4 linked regions of the Anolis sagrei genome follow. The protein of the gene in region 2 interacts with the protein of the main gene of each other region in a pairwise test. Links are inferred from orthologs where the notes say so. Each region holds a gene or a part of one and is shown on either strand. Other genes may lie near its edges.

Region 1 (7,880 bases), on a different chromosome or scaffold from region 2:
TGTTCAAGTCCTGAACCGGTGCTTGGCCGCTGTAATGGACTGGATGAGGGACAACAGATTGAAACTTAATCCTGACAAGACAGAGGTACTCCTGGTCAGTCGAAAGGCCGAACAGGACATAGGGTTACAGCCTGTGCTTGACGGGGTTACACCCCCTGAAGGCGCAGGTTCGCAGCTTGGGAGTGATCCTGGACTCATTGCTGAGGTTGGAGCCCCAGGTTTCGGCGGTGGTCAGGGGAGCTTTTGCACAATTAAACCTCGTGCGCCAGCTGCGCCCATACCTTGGGAAGTCTGACTTGGCCACGGTGGTCCACGCTTTGGTTACATCCCGTTTAGATTACTGCAACGCTCTCTACGTGGGGTTGCCTCTGAAGACTGCCCGGAAGCTTCAATTAGTCCAACGTGCGGCTGCCAGATTACTAACGGGAGCGGGGCACAGGGAGCATGCTATTCCTCTGTTGCGCCAGCTCCACTGGCTGCCAGTCAGCTTCCGAGCACAATTCAAAGTGCTGGCCTTATCCTATAAAGCCCTAAATGACTCCAGCCCAATTTACCTGTCCGAACGTATCCTCCCCTATGAGCCATCAAGATTACTAAGATCGTCTGGAGGGGCCCTGCTCTCGATCCCACCGGCCTCATAGGCGCGGCTGGTGGGAACGGGAGACAGGGCCTTCTCGGTCGTGGCCCCCGACTCTGGAACTCTCTTCCACTGGAGATCAGAACTGCCCCTTCGATCTTAACATTCAGGAAACAGGTGAAAACCTGGCTTTGGGGATTGGCATTCAACGAATGAGCCATGATCCTGTGATATGGATGGTTGATGATGAATAATGACTTTGATGACGACTGACCACTGTAATCATATGATTGTATTTTTGCCATTTTAATTGTTTCAATGTTTTAATGGTTTAGTGTGATTTAGAAATATGATGTTTTAATGACGGTCTGTAATATTGATGTTGGAAACCGGCCCGAGTCCCTCGAATGGAGGTGAGAAGACCGGTATACAAAACTACCAAATAAATAAATAAACTTTGTCCCACCCTGGTCATTCCACAGATATATAAACCCCTTTTCCTAGTTCCAACAGACCTCACTACCTCTGAGGATGCTTGCCATAGATGCAGGCGAAACGTCAGGAGAGAATGCCTCTAGACCATGGCCATATAGCCCGAAAAAACCTACAACAACCCAGTGATTCCGGCCATGAAAGCCTTCGACAATACATTATTATTATTATTATTATTATTATTATTATTTCTGGGAGTTGTAGGCCAAAACCCCTGGGGGCCCACTGGTTGAGAACCACTGGCCTAACATTGAGTCGCCTACGGGCTGAGAAAGGCGGTATAAAAATACAGTAAATACCTCTGAGGATGCTTGCCATAGATGCAGGCGAAACGTCAGGAGAAATGCCTCTAGAACATGGCTCTACAGCCCGAAAAAACCCACAAGAACCTAGTGATTCCAGCCATGAAAGCCTTCGACAATACAGTAAATAAATTTATTTATTTATTTATTTACTTTATTTGTATACCGCTCTTCTCAACCATTAGGCGACTCAGAGCGGTTAACAACAAGAAGCGGCAAAAATTAATTGCAAACATCGTACAGCCATTTAAAAGACAATTAACACAATAATACAGTAAGCAATTAACACCAATAACCATCAGTAAACATCAATAAAAAACTCACTAGCGTCTCATAACTAAAATCATAATCCAAGCTCGTAAATAAATAAACAAACATAACAGCTTATTGTTTAATTTGCCTGTTTTGTTTTCTTCCTTTTCCTCTTTTATATCGACTTGTCATGTTATGATCTGCCTTCTTTTATTCTGTATTTGTTATTTATTGTATTTATTTATGTTGTAAGCCGTTCCAAGACCTTCCGGGGGGGATGGGGCGGGATATAAATAAAGATTATTATTATTGTATTGTCGAAGGCTTTCATGGCTGGAATCACTCAGTTCTTGTGGGTTTTTTCGGGCTATAGGGCCATGTTCTAGAGGCATTTCTCCTGACGTTTCGCCTGCCTCTATGGCAAGCATCCTCAGAGGTGAGGTCTGCTGGAACTGGGAAAAAGGGGTTTATATATCTGTGGATCTGCCTAGTCAAAGCCATGGTATTCCCTGTAGTCACCTACGGATGTGAGAGCTGGACCTTAGGGAAGGCTGAGCAAAGGAAGATCGATGCTTTTGAGCTGTGGTGTTGGAGGAAAGTGCTGAGAGTGCCTTGGACTGCGAGAAGATCCAACCAGTCCATCCTCCAGGAAATAAAGCCCGACTGCTCATTGGAGGGAAGGATACTAGAGACAAAGTTGAAGTACTTTGGCCACATCATGAGGAAACAGCAAAGCCTGGAGAAGACAGTTATGCTGAGGAAAGTGGAAGGCAAAAGGAAGAGGGGCCGACCTAGGGCAAGATGGATGGATGGCATCCTTGAAGTGACTGGACTGACCTTGAAGGAGCTGGGGGTGGTGACGGCCGACAGGGAGCTCTGGCGTGGGCTGGTCCATGAGGTCACGAAGAGTCGGAGACGACTGAACCAATGAACAACAACAACAACATCTGTGGAATGACCAGGGTGAGACAAAGGGCTTTTGTAAGTTGGGCTAGGTGTGAATCTTTCAACTGACCACCTTGATTAGCATACAAGCAAGGTGGTCAGTTGAAAGATTCACACCTAGCTCCAGCAGACAAGAGTCCTTTGTCCCACCCTGGTCATTCCACAGATATATAAACCCATTTTTCCTACTTCCAACAGACCTCACTACCTCTGAGGATGCTTGCCATAGATGCAGGCGAAACGTCAGGAGAAAAATTGCCTCCAGAACATGGCCATATAGCCAGAAAAAACCCACGAGAACTGAGGATTATTATTGTTGTTGTTGTTGTTTTCCACAGTGTCATTCCTTCTGCGTTGTATTTTGTGTAGCTGCTATAATGAACCACTTAGTGAGGAGGCAGGATGGGAATCAAGAATCCCTGAGGGAAAGGAAAGGCCCGGCCCCCTTCTTTGCCTTCCTTCCTTCCTGTTTGTCCGGGCCCGGCTCCCTCCCTCCCTCCCGCCTTCCTTCCTCACCGAGCGCGTGGTCCTCCTTGAACATCCACTTCATGGCGCGGAGGAGGGAGGGGCGGGGGTCGCGCTCTTTCTTTCGGGCCTCCAACGCCACAACAACGGCGACGACGACAGAGATTCCAGCTCTTGCTCCCCGTTTCCGGAATACAGGGTGTGACTTCCGGTTGTCAAGATTCCCGACAACCCTCACTGTCGGGAGGACTTCCGCTCGAGTTCTCCGAGGCGCCTTGCTGATTGGACGGCCGCACGAAAGCCCGCCCCCTAGACCCCGTTTCCTGTCTTTCGCGTTGCCGTGGAGACGGAGCCGCGCCATGGCTAAGGAGAGGCGCAGCGCGGTGGCAGCAACAGCACTCTTCTTACTAGGCGTGCTGGTCGTCCTCTCGCCGCTGCTGGTGGCCTTCCGGAGCCACGGTGAGGATCCACGAAAAACAAGGGAGGGATTGCTTTCAAGGCCAGAATCACTGGGTTGTTGTGAGTTTTCCGGGCTTACAGTAGCATTCTCTCCTGACGTTTCGCCTGCATCTATGGCAAGCATCCTCAGAGGTTGTGAGGTTGTGAGGCAAGGGCAGGAGCAAGAACTCTTCATTAGCATTGAATAGCCTTGCAGCTTCAAGGTCTGGCTGTTTACTTCCCGGGGAATCCTTTGTTGGGAGGTGATTAGCTGGCCCTGATTGATTCTTGTCTGTATGGCCATGTTCCAGAAGCATTCTCTCCTGACATTTCGCCTGCAGCTATGGCAGGAATCCTCAGAGGTTGTGAGGCAAGGGTAGGAGCATTGAATAGCCTTGCAGTTTCAAGGTCTGGCTATTTACTTCCCTGGGAATCCTATGTTGAGAGGTGATTAGCTGGCCCTGATTGATTCTTGTCTGTGTGGCCATGTTCCAGAAGCATTCTCTCCTGACATTTCGCCTGCAGCTATGGCAGGAATCCTCAGAGGTTGTGAGGCAAGGGTAGGAGCATTGAATAGCCTTGCAGTTTCAAGGTCTGGCTATTTACTTCCCTGGGAATCCTATGTTGAGAGGTGATTAGCTGGCCCTGATTGATTCTTGTCTGTGTGGCCATGTTCCAGAAGCATTCTCTCCTGACGTTTCGCCTGCATCTATGGCAAGCATCCTCAGAGGTTGTGAGGCAAGGGTAGGAGCATTGAATAGCCTTGCAGTTTCATGGTCTGGGTATTTACTTCCCGGGGAATCCTTTGTTGGGAGGTGATTAGCTGGCCCTGATTGATTCTTGTCTGTGTGGCCATGTTCCAGAAGCATTCTCTCCTGACGTTTCGCCTGCATCTATGGCAAACCTCCTCAGAGGTTGTGAGGCAAGGGTAGGAGCATTGAATAGCCTTGCAGTTTCAAGGTCTGGCCATTTACTTCCTGGGGAATCCTTTGTTGGGAGGTGATTAGCTGGCCCTGTTCCAGAAGCATTCTCTCCTGACGTTTCGCCTGCATCTATGGCTGGAATCCTCAGAGTTTGTGAGGTCTGTTAGAATCTAGGCAAGTGGGGTTTATATAACTGTGGAAGGTCCAGGGTGGGAGCAAGAACTCTTCATTAGCATTGAATAGCCTTGCAGCTTCAAGGTCTGGCTATTTACTTCCCTGGGAATCCTTTGTTGGGGGGTGATTAGCTGGCCCTGATTGATTCCTGTCTGTATGGCCATGTTCCAGAAACATTCTCTCCTGAGGTTTCGCCTGCATCTATGGCAGGAATCCTCAGAGGTTGTGAGGCAAGGGTAGGAGCATTGAATAGCCTTGCAGCTTCCTGGGGAATCCTTTGTTGGGAGGTGATTAGCTGGCCCTGATTGATTCTTGTCTGTATGGCCATGTTCCAGAAGCATTCTCTCCTGACATTTCGCCTGCATCTATGGCAGGAATCATCAGAGGTTGTGAGGCAATGGTAGGAGCATTGAATAGCCTTACAGCTTCAAGGTCTGGCTATTTACTTCCCTGGGAATCCTTTGTTGGGAGGTGATTAGCTGGCCCTGATTGATTCTTGTCTGTATGGCCATGTTCTAGAAGCATTCTCTCCTGACATTTCGCCTGCATCTATGGCAGGAATCCTCAGCGTGAGGTCTGTTATTTATTTATTTATTTATGCTATTTCTATCCCGCCCATATTAGCTCGAAGGCGACTCAGGGCGGCGTATAGAGTCGGCACAATTTGATGCCATATATAAAATGCATACATTGATAAAACGCAGAAAAAAGAAACATTACAGTATATTTAAAATCATAAAAACAATGAACAATAAAAATTTTAAAAATGTAATCTAGGCAAGTGGGGTTTATATAACTGTGGAAGGTCCAGGGTGGGAGCAAGAACTCTTCCTTAGCATTGAATAGCCTTGCAGCTTCAAGGTCTGGCTATTTACTTCCTGGGGAATCCTTTGTTGGGAGGTGATTAGGTAATAGTATGATAGCTGGGTCCGGAAGCTCCGAGTGTTACGGAGATGCCACATCGCTCCTTCGGGAGCACTGTTTGCGCAAGAGAGACTTAGTTAATGTAAGCCAGGCCAGAGACAGATAACATAAAAGGAATATAAGAGTTCTTTAATGGTGAAACCCTAACCCTTATGCTAACCGAAACTCAAACCCTAAACCATACCCTAACTATAACCCCTAACCCTTACCTTAACTGTAACCCTAACCCAAACCCTGAACCTTGTCCTAACCCTTACCCTAAGTGTCCCCTCCTTTCTAACCTTTCTTCGCTCTCCCTGCTCTCACTCCGTCCCCTCTCTTCCCTTATTCACAGCCACCTTTGCGGCATCTTGGTAACGTTCAGAGCTTCCGGACCCAGCTATCATACTATCACCGGTGATTAGCTGGCCCTGATTGATTCTTGTCTGTATGGCCATGTTCCAGAGGCATTCTCTCCTCACATTTCGCCCACAGCTATGGCAGGCATCCTCAGAAGTTGTGAGGTCTGTTGGAAACTAGGCAAGTGAGGTCTATATATCTTTGGAATAATGTCCCAGGCAGGAGAAATAATTCTTGTCTGTTGGAGGCAAGGGTGAATGTTGCAATTAATCACCTTGATTAGCATTGAATAGCCTTGCAGCTTCAAAGTCTGGCTGCTTCCTATCTGGGAGAATCCTTTGTTGGGATTGTATCTGTTTTCTCAAACCAGTCATAATAATAATAATAATAATAATACTTTATTTAATACCCCGCCACCATCTCCCCAATGGGGACTTGGGGCGGCTTACATGAGGCCAAGCCCAACAGCATATTACAATAAAGTAAAACCAAAACACAATAACAACATAGTAAAATACATACAACATATGAGTGCAAAGACGATAAAGCAAAATCATACACAGTAAAATAAAATAACATAACAATGATGGGCCTCATGTGCAAGATAAAAACAAAGATACTAAAAATACTAAAATCAGGATGAGATAGGGATGGAGCAGATTGTTTGTGGGGGAGAAACTCGTAAAGGAACGGGGTCATAAATATAGACCTTCATACAGGTGGGGAATATACTCTGGGGACAGAAACAGTTGAGGGGGAGCAACTGTGTATGATAATATGGCTACTCTCCAAAAGCGTGTTGGAAAAGCCAGGTTTTGAGATCCCTCTTGAAAATTTCTAAGGTGGGGGCTTTCCTAATCTCACTGGGCAATGAGTTCCATTGACCATAATAACTTGAACTTGGTTTCTAAATGTTCACCTGCTATACATTTTATTGTGTTTTGCAAAGTCATTACAATTGAAAAGTCATTCTTGAAAAGTAAAATAAAATTTGAAAAAGAATAAAATATCCTTTGGATAAAAACGCTGCCTACCCGCCTTCCTTCCATCCCCACAGGATTCTGGCTGAAGCGGAGCAGCTACGAGGAGCAGCCCAGGGTCCGCTTTCAGCATGAGGTGCTGTTAACAGGGCTTCTGGCTGGAGAGCAGGGCAGTGGGGGCTTCGTGGGGTGGAGCTCCTTTGCAGCCTGCAACCGGCTTCTGGGTGACCACCTACGCCTCCCACTTATCTCGGTAGGAAAGCAGGTCCTTCCTTCCTCCTTTTCCATGGCGGGAAGTCAGGCCCTCTGCCCGCTTCCATCCATTCCTTCATTCTTCAGGCCCGGGAGGAGGACGCAGACCATGACGGCCTGATGGACCGGCTTTCCTTACGCCTGGAGCTCCCTCTGCGGCCCTCGGAGCAAGTCGTGGGCGTCCAGCTCCTGCTGACCTTCTCCTACCAGCTGCAGGTGAGGAGTCCAGGGCGTGATTGTTCATCAAATTTGGAATTATGGCCAACTCCACTTGCACTATATGGCTGCCACAATACATCTTAGAGCAGGCATGGGGAACCTTCGGCCCTCCAGGTGTGGTGGACTTCAACTCCCACAATTCCTTGAGGCCAAGGTAAGCCTTTGGGGCGAATGCCGAGCCTCAAGGAATTGTGGGAGTTGAAGTCCATCACACCTGGAGGGCCGAAGGTTCCTGACCCCTGTCTTAGAGGAACACCGGTGCCAGCCATTTTTATTGTAACTGTATTTTAAACTGTTTTGAGGGTATTTGTTGTAATGTTTATTTATGTTTTAGTTAATTATGTCTTACTTAGTATTCTGTTATATTTTATCTCGATGCTTAATTCACTGTTATTGTTGTTGGAGCCCCCAGTGGCTGTTGGAGGCAAGGGTGGCGCAGTGGGTTAAACCCCTGTGCCGGCAGGACTGAAGACCAACAGGTCGCAGGTTCAAATCCAGGGAGAGGTGGATGAGCTCCCTCTATCAACTCCAGCTCCTCATGCGGGGACATGAGAGAAGCCTCCCACAAGGATGATAAAAAAAATCACATCATCCAGTC
Region 2 (7,494 bases):
TCTCCCTCAAGTACATGCAAAGAACGCCATTCTTACCAACTGTTGAATAAATGCAATTGTGGGGAGTGTGGGGGGGGGGAGTACTAGAGGGAAGAAATGGCAGCCCAAATGCATGCAAGCACAAGCACAGGCAGTCCAGCCCCCACCAGCAATAATTCTCTAAAAAGAAAACATTTGTCAGATGACAGGACATGCCTCTGTCTATATTGCTAATCCCTTGTCCAGTCAGCAGGAGGAAGAGGAATCTGTTCCTCCCGCAATTTCAAACAACCACACAGCAGCCAGTTATCAAAAAATGGAAAGAAGAGTCAAATCACACCCCATTGTGAGGAAAGGCTCTACAAACAACCTACTCTTTCAACTTGTTAGTTTGACTTTTTAAAGCAGGGCCGTACTATGATCCCAGCCATGCTACACACACACACACACGCACGAAGCCTGTGACCACATTTGTACCAAGCTAGGAATCACTGGCGCCATAGTGGACAAAGAAAGGCTCTTCAGCCCGTGCAACTTTTTTTTTGGTTGAAGGGTTAATTGGTCCTTCTTAGAAACTATCTGAACTGAACTGAAACTGTCCTCCCATACAGGCTGTGGATATTAGGGATATTAGATCAGCCCCTTCCCTCCTGACCTTCCACAGAAAAGTGAAAACATGGCTTTTTGAAAAAGCCTGTCGGAACCTAGTGCAATAGATAAACATGGAACTATGTGAAATCAAACACTGGAATGGTTTAGACTATATTTTTTGGACAATGAGGCTAATAGTGTTTGATATGATTTTAAATGTTTTAATGTATGTATTTTACAATTCTGTTTGAAATTGTGATTTTATATTGTATTGTGTGTTTATTTTGTATTGCTTTTCATTATTTTCATTTTATCTTATTCATTTATTATTTTATGTTGTATATTTGCTTTGATGTAATGATTGGGCTTGGCCTCATGTAAGCCGCCCCGAGTCCCCTTGGGGAAATGGTGGCGGGGTATAAATAAAGTTTTATCATCATTATATTATTATGTTTATTGTAATTTTAACATTGTTTTAATGGCATCAAATAGCTATCTGTGTTGTAAAGCCGCCTTGATTCACCTTCGGGTTCGAGAAAGTAGAAATATCGTAAATAAAAAAAAGAATTACATACATATTATTAGCCACAGTTCCATGATAGAAAATATTTTCATTTTATTTTATTGATGCATTATTTTATGTTGTATATTTGCTTGGATGTAATTGTTGGGCTTGGCCTCATTTAAGGCGCCCCGAGTCCCCTTGGGGAGATGGTGATGGGGTATAAATAAAGTATTATTATTATTATACTTTTATATTATAACACCAGAGGCACTCCAAGTGGCGAGCTACTGGTCAAAAGACATTTAATCAACTACCAAACTTGCAAACTTTGTGTTTTGTTTGTCTGTTTGCTAAAAAATGTAATGCAACTGTTTGGTCTGTCCCTGACACGATAAATACATTATATTATACTGTTTATTGTAATTTTTACATTGTTTTAATGGCATCAAATGGCTGCCTATGTTGTAAAGCCGCCTTGAGTCATCTTCAGGTTTGAGAAAGGCGGGGTAGAAATATCGTAAATAAATAAAAGAAATAAATACATATTAGCCACACTTCCATGATAGGTGGAGAAAATATTTTCATTTTATTTTATGGATGAATTATTTTATGTTGTATATTTGCTTTGATGTAATTGTTGGGCTTGGCCTCATGTAAGCTGCCCCGAGTCCCCTTGGGGAGATGGTGACGGAGTATAAATAAAATATTATCATTATATTATAATGTTTATTGTAATTTTAACATTGTTTTAATGGCATCAAATAGCTATCTGTGTTGTAAAGCCGCCTTGAGTCACCTTTGGGTTTGGGGGGTATAAATAAAGTTTTATTATCATTATATTACAATATTTATTGTAATTTTTACATTGTTTTAATGGCATCGAAAAGCTGCCTGTGTTGTAAAGCCGCCTTGAGTCACCTTTGGGTTTGGGGGGTATAAATAAAGTTTTATTATCATTATATTATAATGTTTATTGTAATTTTTACATTGTTTTAATGGCATCGAATAGCTGCTTATGTTGTAAAGCCGCCTTGAGTCACCTTTGGGTTCGAGAAAGGCGGGGTAGAAATATTGTAAATAAATAAAATAAATGCATATGTACACATTAGCCACAGTTCCATGATAGATGGAGAAAGAATGAGCCCCCCAAAAAACAACCACTCCCAGCAGAAGACTGGAAAAGCAGGTCTGCAGAATTAGAAATACATGATGACTCGTGTTTAAGACACTTTGCATCTCAATCGAAAGACAAAAGCGGGATATAAACAATTTCATAACAATGCGAGCACATTAATATTTGAAGGACTTTCTGGAGACAATATACTTATAATGGTGTTTCATTTGGAAGACTAATAATTGTATCTTATAGAAGAGGCATGGGCGAACTTGGGCCCTCCAGGTGTTTTGGACTCCAATTCCCACCATTCCTAACAGCCTCAGGCCCTGAAAGGGCCTGAGGCTGTTAGGAATGGTGGGAGTTGGAGTCCAAAACACCTGGAGGGCCCAAGTTCGCCCATGCCTCTTCTACACTATTGTATATATTTGAGGTCATTGCAAACAAACCAAACAACCTGAAAGACTACAATATTAATACTGCATTACACATTAATATTCTATAGAACTTTCAGCAGAGAATATATTCATAAAGGGATAGGATTTGATCAAGATTACTAAGGATTGTATCTGGTATCCCTTTGGGGGGTGTGCGCCTTCTGTTTACCTGAATGACGGCAAGCGAGGAGGTCAAAACGGCGAAAGGAGGGCGCGCGGCGCTTCCCGTGCTGGAGCCGTTGGCCGCCTTTCGGGTTTGGTGGTGGCGCGCGTGTCTGCCTGCGCGCGCGGCGCTTCTCTCTTCCTCCCTCAGCCAGGGGGCCCCTAAATGAAAGCCTCTGCCGCCGCCATGATGGAGGAGGGCAAAAAGAAGGCACGGCAAAGCCGGGCACGCACGCACGCACGCAACGTCATGACGTCACACACTCCCTTAAAAAATACCCTCAACAAGAAATCTATAAAAAAAAAGAAAGAAAGAGAGGAATTGCAAAAAGTGTGGGCAGAAGTCAAACCACACTTTAAAAGATAGTTGATGGTTAGTCCACACCTGTCCAATTCTGGGCACCACAACTGAAGAGAGAGATTGACAAGCTGGAATGTGTTCAGAGGAGGGCGACTAAAATGATCAGGGGTCTGGAGAAGCCCTATGAGGAGCGGCTTGAAGAGCTGGGCATGTTTAGCCTGAAGAAGAGAAGGCTGAATGGAGACTTTTTTTTGTCGTGTCAGGAGCGACTTGAGAAACTGCAAGTCACTTCTGCTGTGAGAGAATTGGCTGTCTGCAAGGACGTTATTATTATTATTATTATTATTTATTATTATTTACTTTGCATATATACCGCTGTATCTCAAGCCCGAAGGCGACTCACAGCGGTTCACAAACAGTAAAAACAGTAGAGACAGCAGTGGTTCCATGCAACATATAACAACACATTATCCATAAATTATCAATAAGCAATTACAATGCACAATTATTACAAAAAACAACCGTACCCAATCTTCTCATCATCCAAGCGTAGTCCAGGTTCGTCGTCCATTGTTCCATTCCTATGTTCCATTACCAGATTGCACTAAATTACTCAAACGCCTGCACAAACATCCAGGTCTTCAACTTTCTTCGGAATGCCATGAGAGATGGCGCCAGCCTAATGTCTGTAGGAAGGGCGTTCCACAGCCGAGCAGCCACCACCGAGAAGGCCCTAACTCTCATACCCGCCAACCGTGCTTGAGAAGCCGGTGGGATCGAGAGCAGGGCCTCCCCGGAAGATCTCAAAGTCCTGGTGGGTTCATAGGCCGACACCTGGATGATTTGATGCTTTTATCATCCTTGTGGGAGGCTTCTCTCATGTCCCCGCATGAGGAGCTGGAGCTGAGAGGGAGCTCATCCGCCTCTCCCTGGATTCGAACCTGCGACCTGTTGGTCTTCAGTCCTGCCAACATAGGGGTTTAACCCACTGCACCACCGGGGGCTCCAGAGGATACATGATGTTGTTGTTGTTCATTTGTTCAGTCGTCTCCGACTCTTCGTGACCTCATGGACCAGCCCACGCCAGAGCTCCCTGTCAGCCGTCACCACTCCCAGCTCCTTCAAGGTCAGTCCAGTCACTTCAAGGATGCCATCCAACCATCTTGCCCTTGGTCGGCCCCTCTTCCTTTTGCCTTCCACATGATAGCCATGTATAAATATGTGAGAGGAAGCCACAGGGAGGAAGGAACAAGCTTGTTTCTTGCTGCCCTGGAGACTAGGACGTGGAACAATAGCTTCAAGCTACAAAAAACTTCAAGGGGTCACACTCTCCTTGAAGACACAGGTTCGCAGTTTGGGAGTTCTCCTGGATTCATCACTGAGCCTGGAATCCCAGGTTGCAGCGGTGGCCAGGGGAGCATTCGCACAATTAAAACTTGTGTGCCAGCTGCACCTGTACCTTGGGAAGTCAGACTTGGCCATGGTGGTCCATGCTCTCGTTACATCTAGGATAGACTACTGCAACGCACTCTACTGACTTAGGATGGATTGCGTTCCCTCGTTTCTCTCTGAAAAATCCTATCCCAGTTACATTGTACCTGTTCACATCAGCATATTCTCAATTTTAATCTATTACATTTGGCCCGGCCATTCATTATTGATTGTTGTTTTTGTTATGTGATTTATATGATTTGTATTTTATTGATTGTTTATTAATGTTGTGTTATTGATGTTTGTTTGATGTACTTCGGGCTAGGCCTCATGTAAGCCGCACCGAGTCCCTTGGGGAGATGGTAGTGGGGTACAAATAAAGTTTATTATTATTATTATTATTACATGTGGTTGCCTTTGAAGACTGCTCGGAAGCTTCAAACAGTCCAACGAGAGGGAGCCTGATTAATAACTGGGGCGGCACACAGGGAGCATACTGCTCCCATGTTATGCCAGCTCCACTGGCTGCCAGTTTGCTACCGGGCACAATTCAAAGTGCTGGCTTTGGCCTATAAAGCCCTAAATGGCCCCGGCCCAAATTACGTGTCCGAACGCATCTCCCCCTATGAACCATCACAAAGATTAAGATCCTCCGAGGAGGCCCTTTCTGTCCCACCATTGTCGCAGGCATGATTGTTGGGGACGAGAGACAGGGCCTGAACATGAGGAAGAACTTCCTGACTGTGAGAGCCGTTCAGCAGTGGAACTCTCTGCCCCGGAGTGTGATGGAGGCACCTTCTTTGGAGGTTTTTAAACACAGGCTGGATGGCCATCTGTCAGGGGTGATTTGAATGCAATATTCCTGCTTCTTGGCAGGGGGTTGGACTGGATGGCCCATGAGGTCTCTTCCAACTCTTTGATTCTATGATTCTATGTAATATAAAATATATAATTATGATATATGTTTAGTATTATATTGTATTACATTATAATATTATAAATACTATATGTATATACAATATATTGTATTACATTATATAATTAGCACAGCACATTGATCTAGGAAAGCTTCTGCCGCCGCCATGATGGAGGAGGGCAAAGGAAGGCACGATAAAGCCGGGCACGCACGCGACGCTATCATTATGACGTGACTCCTCATGTAAACATACCCGCCACACAAAGGGATCTATAAAAAAGCTTCTGCCGTCGCCATGATGGAGGTGGGCAAAAGAAGGCACGGAAAAGCCGGGCACGCACGCGACGCCACCGTCATGACGTCACTCGCTCTCTGTAAGAATATCTTCAACACAAGGGATCTATAAAAGCTTCTGCTGCCGCCCATAACAGAGGGCAAAGAGAAGGCACGGCAAAGCCGGGCACGCACGTACGCGACAACACCGTCATGACGTCACTCCATTTAAGAATACTCTTAACAAGGGGTTTATATGTAAAAGCCTCTGTCACCGCCATGATGGAAGAGGGCAAAAGGGGACACGGGAAAGCCGGGCACGTACGGGACGCCACCGTCATGACGACACTCTCCCATGTAAGACTACCCTCCACACAAGGGATCTAGCTTCTGCCGCCGCCATGATGGAGAAGGGCAAATGAAGGCACGCATGCTCAGCATCGAGATGGCAGCGTCGTGACGTCACACATCCACACTCGCCCCTCGTGCGCTTCTCCTTGCCCGTCCTTGCCTCGTATAGCGTTGCCATTGTAACAACAACAACAACAACTATTATTATTATTATTAGGTCTTCTTCCCTGAATAAAATGGAATATATTGGAGCATTACAATTTCTATGTATTAAGGCAAAGGTAAAGATTTTCCCCTAAAGGTGTCCGACTCTGGGGGTTGGTGCTCATCTCCATGGCTAAGCCGAAGAGCCGGCGTTGTCCGTAGACACCTCCAAGGTCATGTAGTCGGCATGGCTGCATGGAGCGCCATTACCTGGCCGGGGTGGTCCATGCCTTAGTCACCTCTAGATTGGACTACTGCAATGCACTCTACGTGGGGCTGCCCTTGAAAACAGCCCGGAAATTCCAGGTGGTGCAGCGGGCGGCTGCCAGACTGTTAACTGGTGCTCCTTACAGGGAGAGGTCAACCCTCCTGTTTAAGGAGCTCCGTTGCCTGCCATTCATTTTCCGGACCTAATTCAAGGTGCGGGTGCTTACCTACAAAGCCCTAAACGGTTTGGGACCCATCTACCTTCGCGATCGCATTTCTGTATACGAACCCACACGATCTCTTCGTTCATCTGGTGAGGCCCTGCTCACGATCCCACCTGCTTCACAGGCGCGATTGGTGGGAACGAGAGACAGGGCCTTCTTGGTGGTGGCCCCGCGACTCTGGAACTCCCTCCCAAAGACATCAGGCAGGCCCCAACACTGGCAGTCTTTAGAAGGAGCTTGAAAACGTTGATGTTCCGGTGTGCCTTCCCAGAATAAGGAATCCTAAGCAGTATGTCCTCAATGCACTTTATGAGAGATTTAGAACTGTCTGCACGTTCACCTTTTCCAAAACATTCCTCCTATCCCCTTTAAACTTCCCAGCTTTTAACTTGTAAAACTTTTACATTTGGCCCACCTCATATTTTTATAATGTGCTGTGTTATTATTGTATTGTTTTTGCTTTTTATGAGTTATTTATTGTTTTGTTTTTTTCATGATGTTGTTTGGCTTGGCCTCTTGTAAGCCGCACCGAGTCCTGCGGGAGATGTTAGCAGGGTATAAGAACAATAAATAAATAAATAATACCTTCCCACATATTCTCAATACAGAAGCAACCACAAGCAAGTTTGGGTATCAGCCAGCACGTCAACGACTTAAATCAAGAAATAGTTTTCTTAGATCTACAGAGACACTCACTGGAACACCTCAGCAAGCGAGAGTCCAAAAGTGGCAGGCTCAAACCCAGAACCTCAATCGGTGGGTGATACCAGATGAGAGACTCCCCCCTGGGCACACAGAA
Region 3 (8,189 bases), on a different chromosome or scaffold from region 2:
CCAAGCCTTCGGGGATAAAGGATGCCATAGAGAGAGGAGCACAAGGCCCCCCTTTTTGGGATGGGTGGGGCCGCACCTGGAGGGGAAGATCCACCCCAAAGGGACAACTCCTTTGCCTGGAAATCATAGAATCATAGAGTTGGAAGAGACCTAATGGGCCATCCAGTCCAACCCCCTGCCAAGAAGCAGGAATATTGCATTCAAAGCACCCACGACAGATGGCTATCCAGCCTCTATTTAAAAGCTTCCAAAGAAGGAGCCTCTACCACACTCTGGGGCAGAGAGTTCCACTGCTGAACAGCTCTCACAGTCAGGAAGTTTTTCCTAATGTCCAGATGGAATCTCCTTTCTTGTAGTTGCTCCCTCCTCCCTCTGACTTCTTCTCACATACTTATACATGGCTATCATGTCTCCTCTCAACCTTCTCTTCTTCAGGCTAAACATGCCCAGCTCTTTAAGTCGCTCCTCATAGGGCTTGTGCTCCAGACCCTTGATCATTTTAGTCATCCTCCTTTGGACACATTCCAGCTTGTCAACATCTCTCTTCAATTGTGGTGCCCAGACACCACATGGGCCATCTAATCCAAATGTCATAGAATCATAGAGTTGGAAGAGACGACATGGGCCATCTAGTCCAATCCAGAATGGAAAAGCACAATCAAAGCAGTTTCAACAGATGGCCATCCAGTTTCTGTTTAAAAGTTTCCAAGGTAGGATATTCCACCAGACTCTTAGGCAGAGAGTTCCACTGCTGAACAGCTCTTACAGTCAGGAAGTTCTTCCTAATGTCCAGGTGGAATCTCCGCTTCTGCAATTTGGACCAATTTCTCCAAGTCCTAGTTTCCATGGCAGCAGGACACAAGCCTGCTCTCTCTTCATTATGACATTCTTTCACATATTTATACATGGCTCTCATATCTCCTATTAGTCTTCTCTTCTGAGGCTAAACATACCTAACTCTTTGACCCTTTCAGTCGCTCTCCTCTGGACTCCTTCCAGCTGTCAGTATCTCTTTTAAACTGTGGTTCCCAGAATTGGACACAGTGTGATTCCAGGTAAAGAGGTCTAACTAAAGCAGACCAGACATGGGCAAACTTCGGCACTCCAGGTGTTTTGGACTTCAACTCCTAAAATTCCTAACAGCCGATAGGCGGTGATGTATATCTACATTTATACTTGGCTTCTATGGAAATGAGTAAACAGATATGGGACTTTGGGAATTTTTATGTCTTTGAAAAAAGCTCAGAAGATAAGAAGGTCATTCTGTGCTTGGCTAGGTTTGCTTTACCAGCCAGAGAAAATAATTCACGACAATGGAAGGGAGCAACTTTGACAACTCAGCACACAGGCTTTAAAAATGGGGATATCTGTTTTGAAAATATAGGGAGGTGTAAAATCTCATGAGGCCCCTTCTGCACTATTATATAATCCAGATTGGATTATAAGAGTCTATATAGCCATATAATCCAGTTCAAAGCAGATAGGTTGCTGTGAGTTTTCTGAGTTGTATGGCCATGTTCCAGAAGCATTCTGTGTGTTATTGTTTATATGTAAGTTATATTAATTGTACTGTTTTATTTGCTTGCTTTATTTTATTTTATTTTATTTGTCGTGTCAGGGAAACCAGTCAATTATATTACATTTCTAACAGAACAAAGCAAACAAACAGACAAAATACAAAATGTGTGATTTGGTAATTGATTAAATGTCCTTTGACCAGTATCTGGCCACTTGGAGTGCTTCTGGTGTTGCTGCAAGAAGGTCCTCCATTGTGCATGTGGCAGGGCTCGGGTTGCATTGCAGCAGGTGGTCAGTGGTTTGCTCTTCTCCATACTTGCATGTCGAGGATTCCACTTTGTAGCCCCATTTCTGAAGGTTGGCTCTGCATCTCATGGTGCCAGAGCTCAGTCTGTTCAGTGCCTTCCAAGTCGCCCAGTCCTCTGTGTGCCCAGGGGGAGTCTCTCATCTGGTATCAGCCATTGGTTGAGGTTCTGGGTTTGAGCCTGCCACTTTTGGACTCTCGCTTGCTGAGGTGTTCTAGTGAGTGTCTCTGTAGATCTTAGAAAACTAGTTCTAGATTTAAGTCGTTGACGTGTTGGTTGATACCCAAACAGGGGATGAGCTGGAGATGTCTCTGCTTTGGTCCTTTCAGTATTGGCTGCTACTTCCCGGCGGATGTCAGGTGGCGCAATACCGGCTAAGCAGTGTAATTTCTCCAGTGGTGTAGGGCGCAGACACCCCGTGATAATGCGGCATGCCTCATTAAGAGCCACATCCACTGTTTTAGGGTGGTGAGATGTGTTCCACACTGGGCATGCATACTCAGCAGCAGAGTAGCACAGCGCAAGGGTAGATGTCTTCACTTGTATCTGGTTGTGATCCCCAGGTTGTGCCAGTCAGCTTTTGTATGATATTGTTTCTAGCACCCACTTTTTGCTTGATGTTCAGGCAGTGCTTCTTGTAGGTAAGAGCATGGTCCAGAGTGACTCCCAGGTATTTGGGTGTGCTGCAATGCTCCAGTGGGGTTCCTCCCCAGGTGATCTTCAGAGCTCGGGATGCTTCTCTGTTCTTGAGATGAAAGGCACATGTTGTGTTTTAGATGGGTTGGGGATCAGCTGGTTTTCCCTATAATAGGCAGTAAGAGCACCTACAGCACCTTTGCTTGCTGTTTTGTTTTTACTGATGTGTTGTTGGGCTTGGCCTCATGTAAGCCACCCCAAGTCCCCTTGGGGAGATGGTGGCGGGGTATAAATAAAGTTTTATTTATTTATTATTATTATTATTATTATTATTATTCTGACCTGACATTTATGGGAGGCATCATTAGAGGTTATGAGGTCTGTTGGAAACTGTCTGTCTGAGGTCCAACAGACCTCACAACTTCTGAGGATCCCTGCCACAGATGCAGGTGAAATGTCAGGAGAGAATGCTTCTGGAACATGGCCATACAGCCCAGAAAACTCACAACAACCCAATGATTCCAGCCATGAAAGCCTTCGACAATTCAAAGCAGATAATCTGGATTTTATATGGCAGTGTAGAAGGAGGCCTCAAATACACAATTTGAAATTGAAAGGTCAGACCAGTCGCCTCCTCTCCTTCTCCCTCCAAGTGAGACTTAAGCAGCTCCCCCCCGCCCCCCCGGCCTTTCTCTCCTCCTTGCTCCCTCCTTCTCTCCTTCTTGGGTCATTTATTCTGGCCTCACTCCTGGCCTCAGCCTCATAAACAACGCCACTCCACCCCTCCATTAGCCTGGCCTCGCTGTCCTCTTGGGTGGACAATCCCTGGCATTGTCTGCAAGGGAGGCTCTGAGAAGGGATGGACTCCAATGGTGCCTCCCCACCCCCACCTCAAAAAAAGAAGTTTCTTCTCTCACTGGACAAGACTTCAAGTTTTGCGCCTGGTTTTTACATTCCAAAACAAAATGTTTTGGTGTTTTTTTAGCAACCCTTTCATACTGTATTTTGTTTTGCTCTGATGCAGAATGAGATTGCACTAGATCAGGCACAGGCGCTCCAGGTGTTTTGGACTTCAACTCCCATCATTCATAACAGCATCAGGCCCCTTCCTTTTCCCCCTCAGCCACCTAAGCCTGCACTTGATGGACTTTTGGGGGTCTTTTCTATGATAAGCGTTGGATGTTTGGATTTGTTTGTTTCTTCATGTCAGGAGTGACTTGGGAAACTGCAAGTTGCTTCTGGTGTGAGAGAACTGGCGGTCTGTGAGGACGTTGCCCAGGGGACGCCTGGATATTTTGATGTTTTATCATCCTTGTAGGAGGCTTCTCTCATGTCCCCATATGGGAAGCTGGAGCTGATAGAGGGAGCTCATCCGCCTCTCCCCGGATTCGAACCTGCGGCCTGTCGGTCTTCAGCCCTGCCGGCACAGGGGTTTAACCTACTGCGCCACAGGAGGCTCCTATTCCAGCCATGAAAGCCTTCGACAATACATTGGGGTTTGTTTGTTTTTTCGTGTCAGGAGTGACTTGAGAAACTGCAAGTCACTTCTGGTGTGAGAGAACTGGCGGTCTGCAAGGACATTGCCCAGGGGATGTTTGATGTTCGACCATCCTTGTAGGAGGCTTTTCTCATGTCCCCATATGGGGAGCTGGAGCTGACAGAGGGAGCTCAACCCACTCTCTCTGGATTCGAACCAGTCCTGCAGGCAGAAGGGTTTAACCCATTGCATCACTGAGTTATATGAGTTGGGATTTTGGCCTGCATCAATAGGAGCATAGTGTCTAGGTCCAGGGAAGTAATGCTACCCCTTTATTCCGCCTTGGTTAGACCACACCTGGAATATTGTGTCCAATTCTGGGCACCACAACTCAAGAGAGATATTGACAAGCTGGAATGTGTCCAGAGGAGGGCGACTAAAATGATCAAGGGTCTGGAGAACAAGCCCTATGAGGAGCGGCTTAAGGAGCTGGGCATGTTTAGCCTGAAGAAGAGAAGGCTGAGAAGAGATATGATAGCCATGTATAAATATGTGAGAGGAAGCCACAGGGAGGAGGGAGCAAGCTTGTTTTCTGCTTCCTTGGAGACTAGGACACAATGGAACAATGGCTTCAAACTACAAGAGAGGAGATTCCATCTGAACATGAGGAAGAACTTCCTGGCTGTGAGAGCCGTTCAGCAGTGGAACTCTCTGCCCCGGAGTGTGGTGGAGGCTCCTTTTTTGGAAGCTTCTAAACAGAGGCTGGATGGCCATCTGTCAGGGGTGATTTGAATGCAATATTCCTGCTTCTTGGCAGGGGGTTGGACTGGATGGCCCATGAGGTCTCTTCCAACTCTGATTCTATGAGTCTACATTGCCATATAATCCAGTTCAGTGTGGATTTTATACAGCTGTGTGGAAGGGGCGAGAGAGAGGGAGGACAAACTTAACGAGAGCCCACTTGCTCTGATGCGCGCGCATCTTCGCGTTCCCGCAATTGGGGAGGGGGCGTGTTTGGGGGCGTGGCGAGGGCGCTGGGGGCGGTCCCTTTAAGGGGCTTGGCTGCCACCCCAGGGCCCTTTTCTTGGCCGTGGGACTGCGGAGCCCAGGCAGTCAGCACAGCAGCCAGGCAGATTGACAGGCAGGACTTTCTGAGGAGAGGAAGGCGGCAAGGGATTCACGCCCCAGAAGAGATGGGTGAGTTTTCCGACCCCTGCAACGCCCCCCACCCTGAAAGGAGGGCTGACAGCCAGAGCTTTTGGAAGATTGAGCCTCTCAGAACAGAAGCTGCTTGCAGGCATGGGCAAACTTCAGTTTAAGCGGCTGAGGGGGAAAAGGAAGGGGACCGAGGCTGTTGGGAATGATGGGAGTTGGAATCCAAAATACCTGGAGGGCCCAAGTTGGCTCAAGCCTGCTCTAGAGGTTTATGGCTGCTTCTGTCAATTACCTTATTATTATTATTATTATTATTATTATTATTATTATTATTTATATTCTGCTCTATCTCCCTAAAGGGACTCAGGGCAGATTCCAAACATAAAAGGCAAACATTCAATGCATTTGAACATTAGGAAAAACTTCCTGACTGTGAGAGCCATTCAGCAGTGGAACTCTCTGCCGTGGAGTGTGGTGGAGGCTCCTTCTTTGAAACGTTTTAAACAGAGGCTGGATGGTCATCTGTCTGGGATGCTTTGAATGCGATTTCCCAGTTACTTGGCAGAATGGGGTTGGACTGGATGGCCCATGAGGTCTCTTCCAATTCTCGGATTCAATTATTCTACTAGCCGTCCCCTGCCACGTGTTGCTGTGGCCCACATGGGGATTCTGTGTGCCCAATTCTATCGTTGCTGGGGTTCAGAATGCTCTGTGATTGTAGGTGAACTATAAGTCCCAGCAACTACAACTCCCACGGGCATCACCACCAGGAAACACAGTATTTTTTTTTTTTTGGTATTGGGGGTTCTGTGTGGGAAGTTTGGACCAATTCTATCATTGGTGGGGTTCAGAATGCTCTCTGATTGTAGGTGAACTATAAGTCCCAGCAACTACAACTCCCAAATGTGAAGATTCTATTTTCCCCAAACTCCACCAGTGTTCACATTTGGGCATATTGAGTATTCTTGTAGCGTTTGGTCCAGATCCATCATTGTTTGAGTTCACAGTGATCTCTGGATGTAGGTGAACTACAATTCCAAAACCAAAGGACACTGCCCACCAAACCCTTCTAGTGTATTCTGTTGGTCACAGGAGTCCTGTGTACCACGTTTGGTTCAATTCCATCACTGGTGGAGTTCAGAATGCTCTTTGATTGTAAGTAAACTATAAATCCCAGCAACTACAAAATGACAAAATCAGATTTTTGAGTGATGGTCACTACTTGGGTTAATAGGTGTCTTGTGTCCAAATTTGGTGTCAATTCATCCAGTGGTTTTTGAGTTCTGTTAATCCCACAAACGAACTTTACATTTTTATTTATATAGATGAAATACCTTCTGAATTCCAAGGCCCCAAGTTTGCCCATGCCTACTCTATCCTCTACAAACCCCAGGATTGAATAGCTGTAATCCATAGCAGTCAAAGAACTGTGGTTGGGCAGAAGGAAAATAGACACAAGCCAAACGTGTGGGTTTAGCCCTGTTTGCATTATTATTTCCCTCTCTTCTATGTTTTGCTTAAGAGCCAAGAAAGAGCAAGAAAAGGGAGAGGAATGCCGATCTTCTCATGCGCTAGGCATGCACGGCCCACCCATCCAAACACATCCTTCATTCAAATATCAACAATACATCAGGGAAGGCTTCTGGACATTAGGAAGAACTTCCTGACTGTGAGAGCTGTTCAGCCGTGGAACTCTCTGCCCCAGAGTGTGGTGGAGGCTCCTTCTTTGGAGGCTTTTAAACAGAGGCTGGATTTCATAGAACCACAGAATTGCAAAATAATAATAATAATAATAATAATAATAATAATAATAATCTTTATACCCCGCCACCATATCCCCCAACGTGGACTTGGGGCGGCTTACATTATGCCAAGCCCAAACAATAAATTACCACAAGAGACCACATGGGTCCTCTAGTCCAATCCAGAACTTCTTCAGGCTAAATATGCCCAGCTCTTTAAGCTGCTCCTCATAGGGCTTGTTCTCCAGACCCTTGATCATTTTAGTCACCCTTCTCTGGACACATTCCAGCTTGTCAATATCTCTCTTCAGTTGTTGTGCCCAGAGACCACATGGGCCAACTAGTCCAAATGTCATAGAATTGGAAGAGACCACATGGGCCATCTAGTTCAATCCAGAATGGAACTGCACAATCAAAGCAGCTCCAACAGATGGCCATCCCATCTCTGTTTAAAAGTTTCCAAGGAAGGATCTTCCACCAGACTCTGCTGAACAGCTCTCACAATCAGGAAGTTCTTCCTAATGTTCAGATGAAATCTTCTCTCTTGTAATTTGAACCCATGGCTCTGAGTCCTAGTTTCCAGAGTAGCAGAACACAGAGCTGTTGAGCAGTGGAACTCTCTGCCCCAGAGTGTAGTGGAGGCTCCTTCTTTGGAAGCTTTTAAACAGAGGCTGGATGGCCATCTGTCGGGGATGCTTTGAATGAAAATGTCCTGCTTCTTGGCAGAATGGGGTTGGTCTGGATCTTCCATGAGGTCTCTTCCAACTCTAGGATTCTATGATTCTAAGACTGTGGATTTCTTTCTGGGACATGTGAACCTGGCAATGAGCAGCCCACACTGAAATGATAGCAGCTCTGTGGGGCAAAAGAAGGGGTGCTTCTGCTACTTAATTCCATCTCTCCTGGAACCAGTGCAAAGATGTAGGAGCCTCTTGCAAAGACCCCTCCTCAGCAGCGGAAGAGAGGTCCAGAGCCCAGGAACAACTCCTGTTTCCTTGGCAACCAGAGGCAGGAGCATCATCGGGAAGAGAGGAGGCTCAGTGGGCTGGAGGGGTTGCTGGTGGGTAGAAGGTAGGGAGGGTGGCATTGGGTGGCATAGGGGATCCTGCCTGGCACACAGGTGGGAGCACATGTGGAATCCCAGCTGGCAGGTCCCTCTGCTTTGTAAGAAAGCGGTTTTCCTGGCTTTACGGTTCCAGCATAGTCTTCAGACTATCTCCCTGTGCATATGCAAATAGATGGGAGAGTGACCAGCTCGGCAGCAAACTCTGGCCCCCTCCATGCAGCTGGGTAAATGTTTTCCCTTGACGTTAAGTCCAGTCGTGTCCAACTCCGGGGGTTGGTGCTCATCTCCAT
Region 4 (7,261 bases), on a different chromosome or scaffold from region 2:
GCAGAAGGTGTCACCCCAAAGGGGATTCATCAGAGAATGCAAGCTGTTTATGGTGATTGTGTTGATTTGAGTACTGTGCATCGTTGGGGTGACACCTTCTACTGTCAAGAAATCAATGACTGCACATTGCTTAAGTCGCATTGACCGACCGTCTGCGCAGGGTTCCATACTTTATACTTTAACAACAAAACTGTTCAATGCTAAGGCTTCCCGCCAAAATGAAACTGTAGAGGAGAGTCTACTGAACAAGCTAGTACATGCTGCATACCAGTACTGCCATCTGTTGAAGAGTTACAAAGGTGGAGGCATTACTTTTCATTCAACCCTCGTATTCCAGTTCAAAGCAGAAAATGTGGGATTTTATTCAGCTGTGTGGAAGGGGCCTAGGACACAGAATAATGGCTTCAAACTACAGGAAAGGAGATTCCATCTGAACATTAGAAAGAATTTCCTAACTGTGAGGGCTGTTCAGCAGTGGAACTCTCTGCCCCGGAGTATGGTGGAGACTCCTTCTTTGGAGGCTTTCAATCAGAGGCTGGATGGCCATCTGTCGGGTGTGCTTTGAATGCGATTTTCCTGCTTCTTGGCAAGGAGTTGGACTCGATGGCCCACGAGGTCTCTTCCAACTCAGTGATTCTGTGATTCTATGAGAAGGTAAGGAACCTAAGACAACAGGAGTAATGCTTTATATATCCTTCTCACTTGAACCCCAGTTATTACAAACTCCTTAACTTAGGTCCCATTCACACAATAGAAGCATGGCATCTTCATTCCACTTTAACTGACATGGTTCAATCCTATGGAATTCTGAGATTTGCAGTTTGTTATTTTTTTTTGTTATTATATACCTTGACACTGCTTCTTCTGGGCAGAATATTAATTCCTTTTATTGGAATGTTCTCTTGTGGGTTAGGCTTACACACACACTATATATTAATTTAAGCATGTATTTGAATAAAAAATATTTTAATACACATACATTAATTCATCAGTAGATTTTTTAGCTTACACACATGCTTACACAGCATGTATTTAAATAAAAATATTTAAATACACATACATCAATTCATCAGTATAATTTTTTTAGCTACAGGTTTTGGTTAGTTTTTATATCTTGAGTTACTTCTGTGATTTCAGTTATTGCAATTTTTTGGCTGTGATGATGAAAACACAATGACACACACATACACAATTCGATGGAAGAACTTACATGAACCTAAGATTTCACAATTTGAGTTGAGTTGAGATTTCAGAGTTTGAGTTGGAAACTTTGGAAACTGCTGAAAAAAATTATAAGCGGCTGTGACTACAAAAAGGTAAGTCATGTTTTTCTTTCTTTTCAGCTTCTGTTTTAAATACAGTATTTTGGTTGGGCTGTTCTGTTTGGATTTGTCTCATGATAGCACTTACATTTCTGAATAGGAGCACTACAACTTACAGCTTAAACCTTCTTAATTAAAAATTGCAACATTAATTATTTCCTTGAAATCTGTTTACTATCTCTCTTTGTGGTTTACTAAATTGCTCTGTGAAGATACCTCCATAAATCTAAAATAGCTGATGTAGTATGTTAATTTTTATCGCAACACATCTCTATTTCTTTAACTTATATTTTCTATCTCCTAATCCCAAGTTTCATATGCATTTTAGAACCACCTCATTATTGTATTTGGGAAAACTTACATATGTACAAATATGTATCTACAGAGATACTCACAGTAACACTTTCAGACTCTCAGCAAATGAGAGTCCAAAAGTGGCAGGTTAAAACTGTGACTGATACCAGATGAATCATAGAATCATAGAATCAAGGAGTTGAAAGAGACCTCATGGGCCATCCAGTCCAACCCCCTGCCAAGAAGCAGGAATATTGCATTCAAATCATCCCTGACAGATGGCCATCCAGCCTCTGCTTAAAAGCCTCCAAAGAAGGAGCCTCCACCACACTCCGGGGCAGAGAGTTCCACTGCTGAACGGCTCTCACAGTCAGGAAGTTCTTTCTCATGTTCAGATGGAATCTCCTCTCTTGTAGTTTGAAACTCTCTCCTGGGCACACAGAAGACTGGACAACTTGGAAGGCCCTGAAAAGACTATGTGCACTCTGGTACCATCTTGTAATTGAAACTACTTTCAAATTATTTATTGAGCTATTATTGTTTGTTGTGTGCCTTCAAATTGTTTCCAGCCTTGGCGATCCGAGGGAAAACCTAGAGCGACCCAAATCTATGAGGATATAATTTGCTCAAAGGGGATTTATCCTTGCCTTCTTCTGAAGTTACCCTCTTTGTATCTTATTTACAGTACACACAGAATTCAATAAAACAGTGTTTCTCAACCTTCCTAATGTTGTGACCCCTTAATAAAATTCCTTTTTGTTGCTACTTCATAACTGTCATTTTGCTAGTGTTATAAATATCTGATATGAAGGATGTATTTTCATTCTCTGGACCAAATTTGGTATAAGTATCCCATACGCCCAAATTTGAATACTGGTGGGATAGTGGGGTTGATTTTGTCATGTGGTAGTTGTAGTTGCTGGGATTTATAGTTCACCTACAATCAAAGAGCATTCTGAACTCTACCAATGATGGAATCGAACCAAACTTGGCACCCAGAACTCCCATGACCAACATAAAATACAGGAAGGGTTTGGTGGGCATTGACCTTGAATATTGGAGTTCTAGTTCACCTACATCTAGACAGCACTGTGGACTCAAACAATGATAGATCTGGACCAAACTTGGCATGAATACTCAATATGCCCAAATATGAACACTGGTGGGGTTTGGGGGAAAATAGATCATGGCATTTGAGAATTGTAGTTGCTGGGATTTATAGTTCATCTACAATCAAGTAGTATTCTGAACCCCACCACAATAGAATTGGGACAAACTTCCCACACAGAGCCCCCATGTCTTCTTCCAGCCTTGCACGCTCTCCCTCGCCCACACATGTGCACCATGCTGCCATGCGCTGAGCGCGCCTGTTTTCCCCTCCCCACTTGGAATTTCAGAAACAACCCTCCCCTTGGTTGAGAGGCCAGCCAAGAGCCCGGCCAATCACAGCAGAAGAGGACTTTTGGTGGGAGAATTTGCCGTGTATCCAAAAAGGAAGAGAAGGTCAAGCGGAGAGATCTTCAGCCTTCTCTGTACAAATATATGTTTGCTGATGGTCTTTGGCGATGCCTCTGAAACCCCCTCATGACCCCCCAGAGGTCCCAAACTCCAGGTTGAGAAATACTGCAATAAAATAAGGCTCCAAAAAACTCAAATCTTGGCCAGCTTTCATGGAGAAATGTGTACCTATTGGTGGCCCCCAAGTCAGTGATCGGTAGAATCCACTCCAATCCAAAACACCTCACCTATTTTAGGGACAAGTTCAGCACCTTGGGGAGTTCTTACAAAGTCAGAATAGAACCAGAATGGATTCACTGCTCCACTGAAATGGAAGCATCATCCGGACTTGGCAAAATAGACACTTTTCCTTTACCTTCACATTTGTATCACCAGATATTCCTGCAAAACTTCACACAGTTAGATCAAACATTAATGGATTATTTCATCATTCATAGCTCGCTATCTATCTCTGTCCAGGAGCTGTTCCAGCTGTGTTTTGTCTCAAACTGACTGGGGTAACTTTTTCAGAGTGAAGGAGGAGATAGTCTTATCGCGTTTTGAGTTTTATCATGCCTTCGGATTCCTATGGGAAAAGCCAACTCCAAGGAGAAGGAATCACTGTGGTAAATCCAAAGACTTGATAATCCTGTAGGGCAGGATTCATTTCTGACTCGTGTTTAATCTATTTTAAGTATGTTGTTGTTGTGTGCCTTCAAGTCATTTCCGACATATGATAAACCTAAGGCAAACCTGTCACTGGGTTTCTGGAACTGAGAGCGTATGACCCGTTCCCCGCACAATCACACTTCTATGTAATGGAGTCCATTTTGGTCAGTAATGAATCTCCTCAACGCTTCACATAGGGATGGAAGCAGGAAGATGTAGGCCTTAAGGGTGGAGAGAGTCATATTCCCACGCAATATTGAGACATGCAAAATGTATTTTCCATATCTTATTTTGAATCACGTCCTACAAAGCTCTCTGCTGTGCTCATTCAAGGCATAGCGATGGAGGTGTCTGGTCCAGCAGGGTCCTCTTTCCGCGGAGAACAGTGGCTCGCACAACGTGGGTCTCAACGTGGTGTGTCGAACCACAGCCCTGAGGTGGGTTGCACAATGGCAGCATCAATTTCCCACTATTGTTTCATGTTTCTTTCTAGAGAAGCAGGTAGCCAGGAAGGGAAAGAAGAAACTTGACAGAATGACTAGACGTGGGGCGTTGCCGCTGTTGTTGTTGGGTGCCTTCAAGTCATTTTCAACCTGTTGTGAACCTAAGGTGACCCTATCACGGTACTTTCTTGGCACAATTTGAGAATTGCCTCTGTTGTTGAGAGTGTGATTCACAAGAGGTGCATTTCATGGCCAAGTAGGTATTGAAACTCTGGTCTCCATGTCTAATGCTCTAACCAGAATTCTTTTTTTATATGGTCTAAAGCATTGGTACCCAATCTTTGGTCTGCCAGTGTTTGGGATTTCAGCTTCTATAATTCCTGAGCACTGGACAAGCTGGCCTATTGAAGCTGAAGTCCAAAACAACTGGAGGACCAAAGTTTGGAAATGACTGGCCTAAAGGATTCTTCTGTGCCAAACAACTTGTTATCCTAACAAGAGAAGAAGAGCAAAGATGTGAGAGTGTGGGCGTTTGTTGTTTGGGTTAGCAAATCTATCTTGAGACAGCATTCCAAGATAACCGCTGTTTCTGTCGCATAAGGTTGCCAAGTGAAACAAAGGGAAAGGCTTTAATGGTGGCTCAGAACATGGAATTTCAGCAGCCGGTGCTTACAGGATAAGCAACATCTGGTGAAGATCCTTCTCTTAAGCACCTACAGTTAGCTCTTCACATTTGTGGATATTTCTTTTGCCACTTTGATTGGATTTGATTAATATGGTGGATTTGATTAATATGGTCTTTAGGAATTTCTAGATCCACCAATGTAACTCTATGGCCAATTTCAAGTGGGATTTCACCACAGAGTTGTGTTGGAGGAACTAGAGCAGCGTTTCTCAATCTGGGGGTTGGGACCCCCCCCCCCGGGGGGGGTCGCAAGCGGGTGTCAGAGGGGTCACCAAAGACCATCAGAAAACAGTATTTTCTGTTGGTCAGGAGGGTTCTGTGTGGCAAGTTTGGTCCAATTCTTATCATTGCTGGAGTTCAGAATGCTCTTTGATTGTAGGTGAACTATAAATCCCAGAAACTACAACTCCCAAATGTCAAGGTCTATTTTCCACAACTCCACCAGTGTTCACATTTGGGCATATTGAGTGTCTGTGCAAAGCTTGGTCCACATACATCATTGTTTGAGTCCATAGTGCTCTCTGGATGTAGGTGAACTACAACTCCAAAACTCATACACTTCCAGTATTTTCTGTTGGTCTTGGAAGTTCTGTGAGGCAAGTTTGGTTCAGTTCCATTATTGGGGGAGTTCAGAATGCTCATTGATTGTAGGTTACCTATAAATCCCCTCAACTACAACTCCCAAATGACAAAATCAACCTCCGCCCCTAAACCCCACCAGTACTCACATTCGGGCATATCCAGTATTTGTGCCAAATTTGATCCAGCGAATGAAAATACACAGTACATCCTGCACATTATGCTATCTAAATACCCCAAAGGATAATCTTAGGTAGCTCCTCTTAGTACTTGGATGGGACACTGCCAATGAATACTAGATGCTGTAGGCTATATATCAAAGGAAGGAACTGGGAAAACCACTTCTAGGTATTCATTGCCAAATAAAACCTTATGATTTAAAGGGTTGCCATATGTCAACATATGACTTGAAGATGCATATGCACAATATTTCATCATCTTTTCCATCTCCTTGTTTTCTATTCTGCTGACTCCAGGAATTGCCCCATAATCCAAGTTGTCTTTTTTTTCAATCACAGTTATATTTTGCATATTATGTTTTAATCGTTTGTCAGTTTGAATCTTAAGAGTCTAATACTTTTTTTTTTACTTCAGAATTTAGTTTAGAAGCAGAATCCTTAACTTAAGGGGCTGTTCAGCCCAGTGGCATAGTGGGTTAAACTGCTGAGCTACTGAACTTGGTGACCAAGCAGTCGTTGATTCAAATCCGGAGAGTGGGGTGAGCTCCCGCTGTTAGCCCCAGCTTCTGCCAACCTAGTAGTTCAAAAACATGCAAATGTGAGTAGATCAATAGGTACTGCTCCGGCGGGAAGGTAACAGCGCTCCATGCAGGCAAGCCAGCCACATGACCTTGGAGGTGTCTATGGACAATACCGGCTCTTTGGCTTAGAAATGGAGATGAGCACCAACCCCCAAAGTTGGACATGACTGGACTTAATGTTTGCCTTTACCTTTACCTTACTTCTCAGACCACGGTGAAATGAGGGGATAATTCTTTCTCACTTACTTAGGGAATTCAATATGAGAAAGCTGAGCATTAGATGAGAACACTGGGAGACTAGACTTCAAATCCCTGCTCGACCATGGGAATCACACTCTCTCAGCCTCAGAGAGAGATAATCTGAACCCTCATCTGAACAAATTTTGCCAAGAAAACCCTGTGATAGATTCGCCTTAAGTCAGAAATGTCTTAAAAGCACATAATAACAAAGAATGTGCTTCTAACCAGAAGGTGGATAAGAGAGCAGATAGGAGGATGAGTCCTAGCAGCAGAACTACTGAAAAGGAAGGAAGGCACTAACTCCCCTTTGGAGAGTCTTGCAGAAAGATATTTAAGCATTGCAAATTGCATCACACTCCTGTTCTAGTAACTGAGCTGAATATTTGACAACAACGTTTTCCTCTTGCCCACGAAAACTGGAGACTTTGTACTCCCATCTTCCACCTGGAGATGATCCACAAAAACCAAGCTCTGAGACCTGCCAATTGTACCTGAAGGTCTTGTGCAAGTTCAGGAGCCCTTCCCTATGTACTGTAATGCAGCTGCTCTCCCTGTTCCTTGACGGGGATGGTGGATCATGGCATAGTCATTGCCCAGCAGCTTGGGCCGGATGTCAGGCTGTCTTTGTGCTCTGTCAGAGCCAGGTACATCTCGACAATCTGGTGCCAAGCAGGGACAGGGCAGTGATTGGCTTCTTATCAAAGGGCCCCTCCTTGTGCCTGCCAAGAAGATGAAAGTCCAGTTTTGCGTATCATAGGCCTTTTCCGCTTTC

Evidence for each region.
Region 1: the proteins of BCL2L13 (region 2) and GABARAPL2 interact in binary tests that used the Homo sapiens proteins (3 or more experiments, as listed by UniProt). The two-hybrid records come from large-scale screens. The link is inferred for Anolis sagrei from reciprocal best matches to the Homo sapiens genes BCL2L13 and GABARAPL2.
Region 3: the proteins of BCL2L13 (region 2) and PLP1 interact in binary tests that used the Homo sapiens proteins (3 or more experiments, as listed by UniProt). The two-hybrid records come from large-scale screens. The link is inferred for Anolis sagrei from reciprocal best matches to the Homo sapiens genes BCL2L13 and PLP1.
Region 4: the proteins of BCL2L13 (region 2) and lysoplasmalogenase TMEM86B-like interact in binary tests that used the Homo sapiens proteins (3 or more experiments, as listed by UniProt). The two-hybrid records come from large-scale screens. The link is inferred for Anolis sagrei from reciprocal best matches to the Homo sapiens genes BCL2L13 and TMEM86B.

Annotation. Positions count from the first base shown.
Region 1 is NC_090028.1:29,634,059-29,641,938, forward strand, and holds the start of GABARAPL2 (gamma-aminobutyric acid receptor-associated protein-like 2), read right to left. Parts: upstream 3,254-7,880; 5' UTR 3,119-3,253; coding exon 3,085-3,118; intron 1-3,084. Other genes in the region: TMEM231 (transmembrane protein 231), read left to right, coding at 3,393-3,492, 6,889-7,064, 7,151-7,279. UniProt on the Homo sapiens protein: Ubiquitin-like modifier involved in intra-Golgi traffic. Modulates intra-Golgi transport through coupling between NSF activity and SNAREs activation. It first stimulates the ATPase activity of NSF which in turn stimulates the association with GOSR1.
Region 2 is NC_090025.1:180,138,417-180,145,910, reverse strand, and holds the start of BCL2L13 (bcl-2-like protein 13), read right to left. Parts: upstream 3,016-7,494; 5' UTR 2,796-3,015; intron 1-2,795. UniProt on the Homo sapiens protein: May promote the activation of caspase-3 and apoptosis.
Region 3 is NC_090030.1:20,109,648-20,117,836, reverse strand, and holds the start of PLP1 (myelin proteolipid protein), read left to right. Parts: upstream 1-5,002; 5' UTR 5,003-5,129; coding exon 5,130-5,133; intron 5,134-8,189.
Region 4 is NC_090026.1:20,933,491-20,940,751, forward strand, and holds the start of lysoplasmalogenase TMEM86B-like, read left to right. Parts: upstream 1-4,111; 5' UTR 4,112-4,123; coding exon 4,124-4,219; intron 4,220-7,011; exon of another isoform or gene 7,012-7,261. UniProt on the Homo sapiens protein: Catalyzes the hydrolysis of the vinyl ether bond of choline or ethanolamine lysoplasmalogens, forming fatty aldehyde and glycerophosphocholine or glycerophosphoethanolamine, respectively and is specific for the sn-2-deacylated (lyso) form of plasmalogen.